Canis lupus familiaris: one gene and its partner. The protein of the gene in region 1 purifies or fractionates together with the protein of each later gene. This does not show direct contact. Links are inferred from orthologs where the notes say so. Each region holds a gene or a part of one and is shown in the gene's direction. Other genes may lie near its edges. The genes, in order: PTPN7 and MAPK14.

Region 1 (4,382 bases):
GAGGGTGTGCTCACGGCCAGTGGGGCTCAGACCCGGGAAACCTGGTGGGAACCTGGAGGCACGGGCCGGCCAGGGGGCAAGGCTGGGCCCGCTTCCTCCTCCCCACCCCTGTGGTATCCTAGCTTCCTGTTCTCGATAACCATCAACAGCTTGGCCCAACGGGGCTGGCCCTCTTTCTGATTCCCTCCTGCCCCCTTCTTTGAATCCCAGGGCCCCACTGGTGGGTTTGGGGGAGCGGTGGAGGCAGAAGCCACCTCGGGTCCCTTCCCGAAGGTCGACCAGGGATTCCCAGGCTCTCCTGCCCCCACCTCCGCCCTGTTCTGGGGACCAGAGCCAGCTACTGCTCCAGCTCCTCCTTTCAGGGAAGCCACCCACTCCCCAGAGTGAAGAAGCCTCCGGGACCAGCCAGCCCTGGAGGGGCCGGGAAGGGGCCGGCTCCCGATCCGCACCCCCGGGAGCACGGACAGGTGCTGGAAGGCCTCGCAAGCTGCGCAGAGTCATCCCGGGCTTGGCCCCAAGCACCCCCCCAATGGCCAGCCCCCTCCCCACCGCCCCTCCTGTGTGCCCACCCCCTGTTGAAAATGGTTTCTTTTTTTGCTGTCACCATTGACAGCTGAATCAGAGAAATGGGAGGACGCAAGAGGACGGGGATGGCGCGTGTTGGGGCCGGGACGGGGAGGGTGTTCGCGGTGTTACGAGGTGGAAGGAGCCGTGCAGCGAGCATGACCCGCTGGGCAGCTGGCCAGCAAGGGGCCTCCCGAGGCGAGGCGGGGGCAGGGGGCGCTGGAGTCCTGGGCGCAGGGGCCACTTCCTGGGACCCCAGACGCGAAGAAGGCATGGGAGTCCCCCACCCCCCGCCCACCCCACCCGCCGCGCCCCGTGAGGGCCAGAGACTGTCCACTATCTGTAAGTCTGCTGAACTGATGTCAGGATGCTGGGGAGAACTGGAGGGGCTGGGGGGGAGGCAGGGGGAGAGCCCCCCAGATTCTCCTATGAACCGTGTCTACCACCCACTCCCGGGCCTGCTGGTCCATCGCCACCACAGGTAGCTGGCAGCTTGGCTGCGGCTCGAGTCCCAGGGACGGCCCTTCTGGCCTGGCCTGGGCCTTTCTGCCCCTGCTTCCCTCCCAGCCTGCCCCACCACCTACAGCCACCTCTGCAGGTGCCCCAGCCCCTGCCCCTGACTCCAGAGCTTGAAGGGGGCAAGGGCTCCCCGGACCACAGGGCGCCGAGGCAGAAGCAGGGCAGTGGGAAGCAGTGTCCGGGCAGGGCCGGCGGGACCAGAACCAGCAGCGAGCTGGGGGCAGCGGGCTGACGCTGCACGTGACCAGAGCCCAGAGGCCAAACAGTCCAGGGAGCACGCGGGCGGGGGGCGAGGGGAGCCAGGGTGGCGGGGAGCGGTCCGGCCCCCTCCGTCCCCGCACCCCCGCCCGAGGGACCCGGGCAGCCCACCCCGGGGCACAGGCGAGAGGCACCCGACCCCTGGTGGTGGCAGCAGGCGCAGGAGGGCAGCAGGCGGCTGGGGTGTGCGTGGGTGGCAGCGAGGAGGGGCGAGGGAGGAAGCTGGCTTCCTGAAGCTTCCTCAGCCCTCAAAGACCGACCAACAGACAGACAGACAGCTGGCAAGAGGCGGCCTGGAGGCCACGGCTGCCTCAGTGAGTCCCTGACCGGTGGAGGAGGGGCCCCGTGGTCCTGGGGTGGTGGGGACCCCGGGGAGGTGGGGGGGCACTCCGGGCAGGTGGGAGCGAGGCTGCGTGGGGTGCCACGCTGTGTGGCCGGGGAATGGGTGCTGCCCCATCAGACGGCCCCGAGGGGCGCGGGGAGGGAGCCCCAGGGCGCTGCAGGGGGACCAGAGGCCAGCCATCCCTTCCTGCTTCGTACGAGCTTCTCGCTCCCCGCACATCTGCACGGCCGGGGTGTCCCCTCACCTCGGGGCTTAGCGGCTCCGCCGCCGCCCCCACCCCTCGGACGCCACGGCCTGGCTCTGGGAGGTGGGGACGGTCCCCCCCAGGAGGACTCAGGCCCACCACCTCCGTGCCCCCCGTCCCCCCAGCTGTCGCCTCACCATGCGCTGCCGCTCAAGGGCTTGTGAGGCCATTTCCTGTGACGGTTACAGAGGCGGGAGGTGGGGGGATGGGCGGGGAAGAAGGAAACACCCCCAGCCTACCTCCCTGGACAGAGACCTCAGAAGCCAGAATGACCTTGGGCCCGCCCGCAGCGAGGACAGGGTCCCCAAGGGTCCCCAGCTGGCTCTGCTGCTGCCGCCGCGAGAGGCCTCAAACCTCTCATCTCGGAGCGGGCCCGGCCTGGAGGTGGCTTCCGTGAGCTTTCTCTCTCCCTTCCACGCAGAACGCGCGGCTCCTGTTTCCTCCCTCTCCTTCCTTACCTGGGCCCCGCGCGGGCCCCCTGTGCTCCAGCCTCGGGCAGCCTCTGCCCCCCATCCCCCTCCGTCTGGAGCCCTTCCTGACCTTGCCTCCCCGCACAAGCTCCATACCTCATTGGGTCCCTCCTCCAACCCCGGCCACCCCACCGCCCTGGGTCCCCCCTCGTAGGGACCCCGGCCTTCTTGCCGTGAAAACGACAGCTCTGCTCGGAGAAGGGACGACACCTGAGAGCGGAGGTGCCAGAAAGCAGGCGGCGGGCCTGGGCTTGGGTGCCTCTCAGGTGGGCAGAGAGGCCGGGGTCAGCTGCCGAGGGCCCTGTCTTTCAGGTGAACCTCATGGCTGCGTGAGCCTCCCCCAGGCCAGCACCCAGCCCAGCATGGTCCAGGACTGGGGGGGGTGCTCGAGAGCACGGCCGTCCACCTGGTCTTTGGGGGGAGCCATGACCCAGCCGCCACCCAGCAAAGCTCCGGCCAAGAAGCACGTGCGGCTGCAGGAGAGGTGAGGCCTTTCCTGGGGGGCGGGGGGTGTCCCAGCCCTGAGACCCTGCGCGGTGCTCTCTGCCTGCCCCTACAGCTCCGAGGCCGAGGGCTGAGGGCTCCAACCTGGAAAGGAACCCAGATGTGCTCATTTGCATGTCATTTGCATGCACTGACAGGTCGGGATAAAGTTTCCCGCCTCCTTGGGCTGCTCCCCAACCCGAGGCGGGGCTGTAGTCCCTGGAGCAGGGCTGTGTTGGGTCTGGGCTCGTCCACGCTCTGGGTGTGGCAGGAGGGGCGCAGGCAGGCAGCTGGAGCGTCGAGGTGACAAAAGGAGGGAACGCAGCGGGGCCAGAGCCCTCGAACCCACCGGGCCTCCGCCCAGGGGAAGACCAGGAGCAGCCTCCTCAGACGTGCCCTGAACCAGCAACAGCAAAAAGCAGCAGCCAGTGGTGTTGTCGTGCCCACAGGAGGGGCTCCAACGTCGCTTTGATGCTGGATGTGCGGTCCCTGGGGGCCGTGGAGCCCATTTGCTCAGTGAACACGCCCCGGGAGGTCACCCTGCACTTTCTGCGCACAGCTGGACACCCCCTCACCCGCTGGGCCCTGCAGCACCAGCCGCCCAGTCCCAAACAGCTGGAGGAGGAATTCCTGGTAAGAACTTGGGGTCCCCCCGCGGTGCTGTGTGCCTCCGAAGCACAGCCAGCCAGCGGGCACCGTACTGTCTTGTCTTCGGGCCTCCGGAAAGAGAACCCACGAGGGAGAAAACCACCCCGTGGGCCCCTCTGCGCTGCACCCCTGCAGACCCACGGAGGCCAGGAGGGAATTGCCGGGATCAGCCCCTGTGGACACAAGGACGGGGCGGCGGGGGCAGGCGGGCACGGGGGTCGATATTCACTCATCTCTTCCCTCTGCCAGAAGATCCCCTCGAACTTCGTCAACTCTGAAGACCTGGACATCCCTGGCCACGCCTCCAAGGACCGCTACAAGACCATCCTGCCGAGTAAGAACCGCGTGTCAGGGGAGTGCAGCCGTCCCTGGGCTGGACGGTGTGAGGGCGACAGGCGCGGCCCCAGCGAGGGCGCGTCTACGAGAGCAGTGGCAGGTTTGGGGATGGGAGTCCGGGGCTCTGAGGGGCTGACCCCGCAGGCCCTAAAGGCCCAGGGCCCCGCACAGAAGCAAGCTCCAGACCCTGGGAGACTGACTCCTGCCGCTGCCCACCCACCTCCAGCAACTCCCAGCCCTGAGGCCGTCTCACCGCCCACCCCCGCCCCCGCCCCCATCCCCGCCCCCACCCCCGCCCCTGCCCCTGCCCGCCTGGTGGGTCAGCACTCAGCCCAGGGAGCGGGAGGGAGTGGCCCTCGTCCCGGCCCAAGTCAAAGACGGAGGGGAGGTCCCCCCGCTTGCAGGGCCCCGTCCAGAACCAGGCCAGCCCTGGGGGAGTTTGTCTCCCCTGCTCACGAGCCCGGCCTCCGTCCCTGCTGGGACTCGCGTGGGGACAGCCCTCCCGCTCGAGGCAGAG
Region 2 (4,422 bases), on another chromosome or scaffold:
CTAAGAGACATTGTAACAAACTTTAACAAAGGAATAAGTTGGTTACAGTGGCTGTAGGCATGGTTATATAGTATCTTGCTCACTCACACTTACTATCTTGTTCAGCTTTACAGGTAACCCTATTAGGCGCGGATGTAAGGCAGGAATTACTTTTGCAGAAGCTGGAACTAGAGTCTAAGAGAGGTCAATAGACTTGCCTAATAGGACACCCTCTGCCTTGCTCTCCTTAACCTGAGGCAAGAATCAAGCTTCAGAGCAGGATTCAGTTTCAAACCCTCAGAAGTACTCTTTTCAAAAATCCTTCTCCAAGGGGGATGCGGGAGACTTTCCTGAATCAGAACTGCCTGGAGCATATTATAAAAATGCGCGTTCTTGGCGCCTATCACCGACCTATCCACTTAGACTCCCTGTGGGTCCTGGGACTTGGCTTTTTTTTTTTTTTTTTTTTTTTAACACTCCAAGTGTTCTTTTGCACATAAACGTTTAAAGACCGTTAGGAGAGTTTGGGTGGAAAACCTCAGACTTAACGTAGAGCTAATACTTGCTTTCGGGATAGGGTCCGTCACAGTTCCGAAGATTAAGCCGTATGTCCCCGAACATGGAATAACGGCTTTCTGGCTGGAACCTTCCTTTTCCAAATGTAAGTATTTCTTGGAAGTTGGAGGTTCTGCTGAGCAGATGCTCGGCTGCTGGTGACTACCGGCAGTTCAAAGATCTTTTGGCTCTTTTCCCGACACCCTATTAGTCGCCGTCGCCTCCCGCCACGGAGCCGGGCGTTTGCCCCGCCGACCACGGTGGGGCGCACGCGGCATACGTTGCCTGCCTGTCCCTCCCTTTCCCGGGTCCGCCTTCGCGCCCTTAAGAGCAGTCCCCGAGAGTTCCTGCCTCTGGTCTCCAGCTGTTGCCCTTTTCTCGCGAGAAGTGCTCCTCCCATCCTCTCCGGTAGTCCACCCCCTCCCGTGGGCAGGTTCCATATTGGGTAAAATCTCGGCTCGCGGAGAGTCCCGGGAGCTGGTCTCGCGAGAGTACGGCTAGCGACTCCTGTTCGCTGGCTCTGGAACGGCGATCACTGGAACTTGAGCGGGCGCTGCAGCTGGAGCCGCAGTTCCGCGGCGCAGCCCGGGGTCGGCCTGGTCGGGGAGAGGGTGCAGGGAGAGCGTGGTGGGCGCAGCCCTGAGCCCCGCAGCCTGCCCCTGCCCTTCACCGGGCTCGCCCGGCAGCTGCGGCTGACAGGGGCCGCGCGCGCGGGAGTCGGCGGGGTCGCGTCTGCCGCACCTGCGCCGACTGCCAGCTCCGGGTCCCCGCCCGGCCCGGCGGGCAACGAGGGCCCGGGAGCGGGAGCGGGAGCGGGTGCGGGTGCGGGCGCAGGCGGGGCCCCTCAGGGCCACCTCCTAGCCCCGCGGCCGCCGCTGGAAGATGTCTCAGGAGAGGCCCACGTTCTACCGGCAGGAGCTGAATAAGACAATCTGGGAGGTGCCCGAGCGTTACCAGAACCTGTCCCCGGTGGGCTCCGGCGCCTACGGCTCCGTGTGGTGAGTGTCACCGGGCTTGGGTCTGCGGCGGGCTTGGTGGCCTCAGCACCCCAGAACCAGGCCTGCCCACACAGCTCAGCGATGCACCAAGCGGTAGGAATTTTCTCTGGGGGAGGGCATCGTTGCCCATTCGACCCCTGTGCTGCACGCCCGGGACCCCCTTGCACCCCTCACTCTGCACCCCCAGGGAGGCGGTCGGCTGTGTGCAGGATGCAGGTCCACGGTGGGCGGTGGTGCTGGAGCTCGGCCCTGCCTCGCACCCTGCGCAATCCCTTCTGGGGGGGTGGCTGCTCGGGGGAGGGGGGCTGGCACAGAGGCCGGGGCGTCTCTCCGGGGGTGGGGGGTGTCTCCCTGCCAGCCTCGAGCCGAAGGAGCCTCTCCGGAGGTGCAGCCACTCTGGGCGCGCGGGAGCCTGCCCTCCAAGCAGACAAGCCCGGGGGGGCTGCAGGGAGAAGCAGAAGGGCCAAGCTCTACGGGAGACTGCGAGCGTCGGAACAAAACTGACGACCAAGGGCTTTCTGCCCTGGCTTTTTTTTTTTTTTTTTTTTGCAGACCTCTTTCGAAATCTCATTTCGAGAGGCATTCTTTTCGAATTCGCACTTGCATTAGCAGCGACCCAAAGAACCGAAAATACCGACTTTATCTCGGCCAGCCTAGTGCCAGCTTGAGTTGTGTGTTTCCGATTCTGTTGAAAGCGTATTTCCTTTTCGCTGAGTGGGGGTGGGTGGTAGTGCCTGCAAGAACACTGCAGCTTGAGAAACTGGCGGCTTCACTGATTAGTCACATACCACTGCTCATTTAAGTATTGTTTGGCAAAAACAGTTTTTTCACTTGGAGCAAGTGAGATTCAGATCCGTTGGACGCGCTCAAGATCAAAGAATCATGAGCAATCTGGGGAGGTATTGTAAGTATTTCTTAATTGCAGTACATCTTGTGAATATTGTGTTTTTAAACTTCTTTAGAGAGTTCGCAGGGAACTGATCTACATTTGTAGCCTGAGGTACACGATGGTTTTCATAAGGATAGGGAATATATAGCAAAGGAAGGGAGAGACACTTCTCAGCTTTAATTCACACTGTGTTTTAAATTAAATCGATCCAATAAAATTCTTGGATCTAAAATATTTCACTAGTTTAGGTATTACACACCATATTTTAGAGTTACTGTAACTTGAGAGCTGCTGATCTGAAACTAATTCCTGTATTCATGTGAATCATTTGAAAAGGGCTCCATAAGATTTTGGGAGGGTGGGGGTGGGGGTGAGGGAAACGAATTCCAGACTTTTGGATGTGTTAATCTTTATAATTCTTGTGTTTCTTAAAGTCACATCATGAATTTCCTGTTTGCTAGAATCTTCTGGGTAATTGAGATTGTGCAATTGTGTCAAGCAACAGATCATATTGCATTTTCTAGTTCAAGCTGCGTGAGTTCATCTTGCTGATGGTCCCGTGCTTGACATCTTTTCCTCATTTTTATAATATGGCAGTTTACGTTTTAAGGGAATTTGCAACATTTTACTGTATCCATCTATATGTGTGATTGATTTGCAAATTTTCAGAGATATATTTGGATCATGGCTCCTTTAATAGCTTATTATTTTACCACTCTTTTTCATTCTGTTATGTCATAATTGACATTAATTTTCGTAGTACCAAGTTTCTGTTTCCAATGATGTTTAAACTTTAATGAAATGATACAGCAGAATAGCTCAACTATGGGGAGTTTAGTGGACCTGAAAACAACTGCTTGCAAGGTCTTCCTACTGTTGGTATGAATAGCTCTGTCCTGGAACTGCAGATTCAGATTTAGAGTGAAGTATCATAAAAATGACCTTTACATTTCCTTAGTACTATACTTTTTTGGCTTACAGAAGCCAGAAATATCTGACACTTGGAAGTGATTTTGTTAAACATATTTTAAAAAATATGTATAGAATTATATACACATTGTATAAAATTCAAAAGGCGTAAAAGGATATTTAACGAAAGGTATCCTTTCCTTTCTTGTTCTCCAACTGTGCTATTCCTTTCCTCTGAGACAGCCCCTGTTAAGTTTCTTATGTGTCTTTACAAGGAGGCAGAGCCCATTCATTTGTTTTTAGTAGTATTTCTGTTGAGGGATTTAAAGTGTGACATATGGTATATTGGTGGAAGAGAATGCATCTTATGTGTGTCAGTTGACTATGGCAAATATAATTGATTTTGGATTGAAAATATCAGAATTTAGATATACATAAGTAAGTGGCATCTCATTCAGAATTATTTGAAGTTATTCTTTCAGTTCTTTCAGATTCTTAGCAGTGTTTTGGGTGTTGCAGCAAACTTTTTTTTTTTTTTTTTTTTTAATTTCTCTTACAGCATTCTGGAGCCTGTGTTATTTTTCACTGCCATCATCCTTTAAGAACAGATTTGATTTTAGGGAATAAGAAAATCAAGCTGAATTCAAATAATTTAGAGAATTTGTACTCAAGTCTGGCGAGAAAGATTAGGCATTCAGGTTGGTCTTGTTTTAGGTCAAATAGGAGTTATAACTATAAAGTAATGACAGAATTTCTTGTGTGACTTGTAGAACTGGATCTGAAGTCTGTTCCGAAAAAGAATCTCTGAAAGCATTTTAAGGAATGCAACCTCACGCAAATATCTGTCAGTTTCCTAATTTGATTGCTCCTAAGTGTGATATACTTTGATGTATATTAAAAGTTTTTTATGTTAAGCCTATTTTCTCATTTTAATTTTCACTAAGTCTACAGTAAAAAGGCAAGCAGCAGCCTGTATGCTATGAATCCAAGATCAAGGAATCAGACTAGAAATTGAAAATTGATAAGGTTTTATTTTTTTAATTTTTCAATTTTTTAAAAAATTGATAAGGTTTTATAATATACCTTTCCTTT

What was found.
Region 2: the proteins of PTPN7 (region 1) and MAPK14 purify together in Homo sapiens (affinity purification with mass spectrometry; 3 studies listed by BioGRID and IntAct, with this or other methods). This does not show direct contact. The link is inferred for Canis lupus familiaris from reciprocal best matches to the Homo sapiens genes PTPN7 and MAPK14.

The regions. Positions count from the first base shown.
Region 1 is NC_049228.1:986,336-990,717, forward strand, and holds the start of PTPN7 (tyrosine-protein phosphatase non-receptor type 7), read left to right. Parts: upstream 1-1,500; 5' UTR 1,501-1,655; intron 1,656-2,179; exon of another isoform or gene 2,180-2,321; intron 2,322-2,710; 5' UTR 2,711-2,760; coding exon 2,761-2,882; intron 2,883-3,245; exon of another isoform or gene 3,246-3,330; coding exon 3,331-3,514; intron 3,515-3,778; coding exon 3,779-3,863; intron 3,864-4,382. UniProt on the Homo sapiens protein: Protein phosphatase that acts preferentially on tyrosine-phosphorylated MAPK1. Plays a role in the regulation of T and B-lymphocyte development and signal transduction.
Region 2 is NC_049233.1:5,326,339-5,330,760, forward strand, and holds the start of MAPK14 (mitogen-activated protein kinase 14), read left to right. Parts: upstream 1-1,416; coding exon 1,417-1,532; intron 1,533-4,422. Other genes in the region: SLC26A8 (testis anion transporter 1), read right to left, coding at 546-600. UniProt on the Homo sapiens protein: Serine/threonine kinase which acts as an essential component of the MAP kinase signal transduction pathway.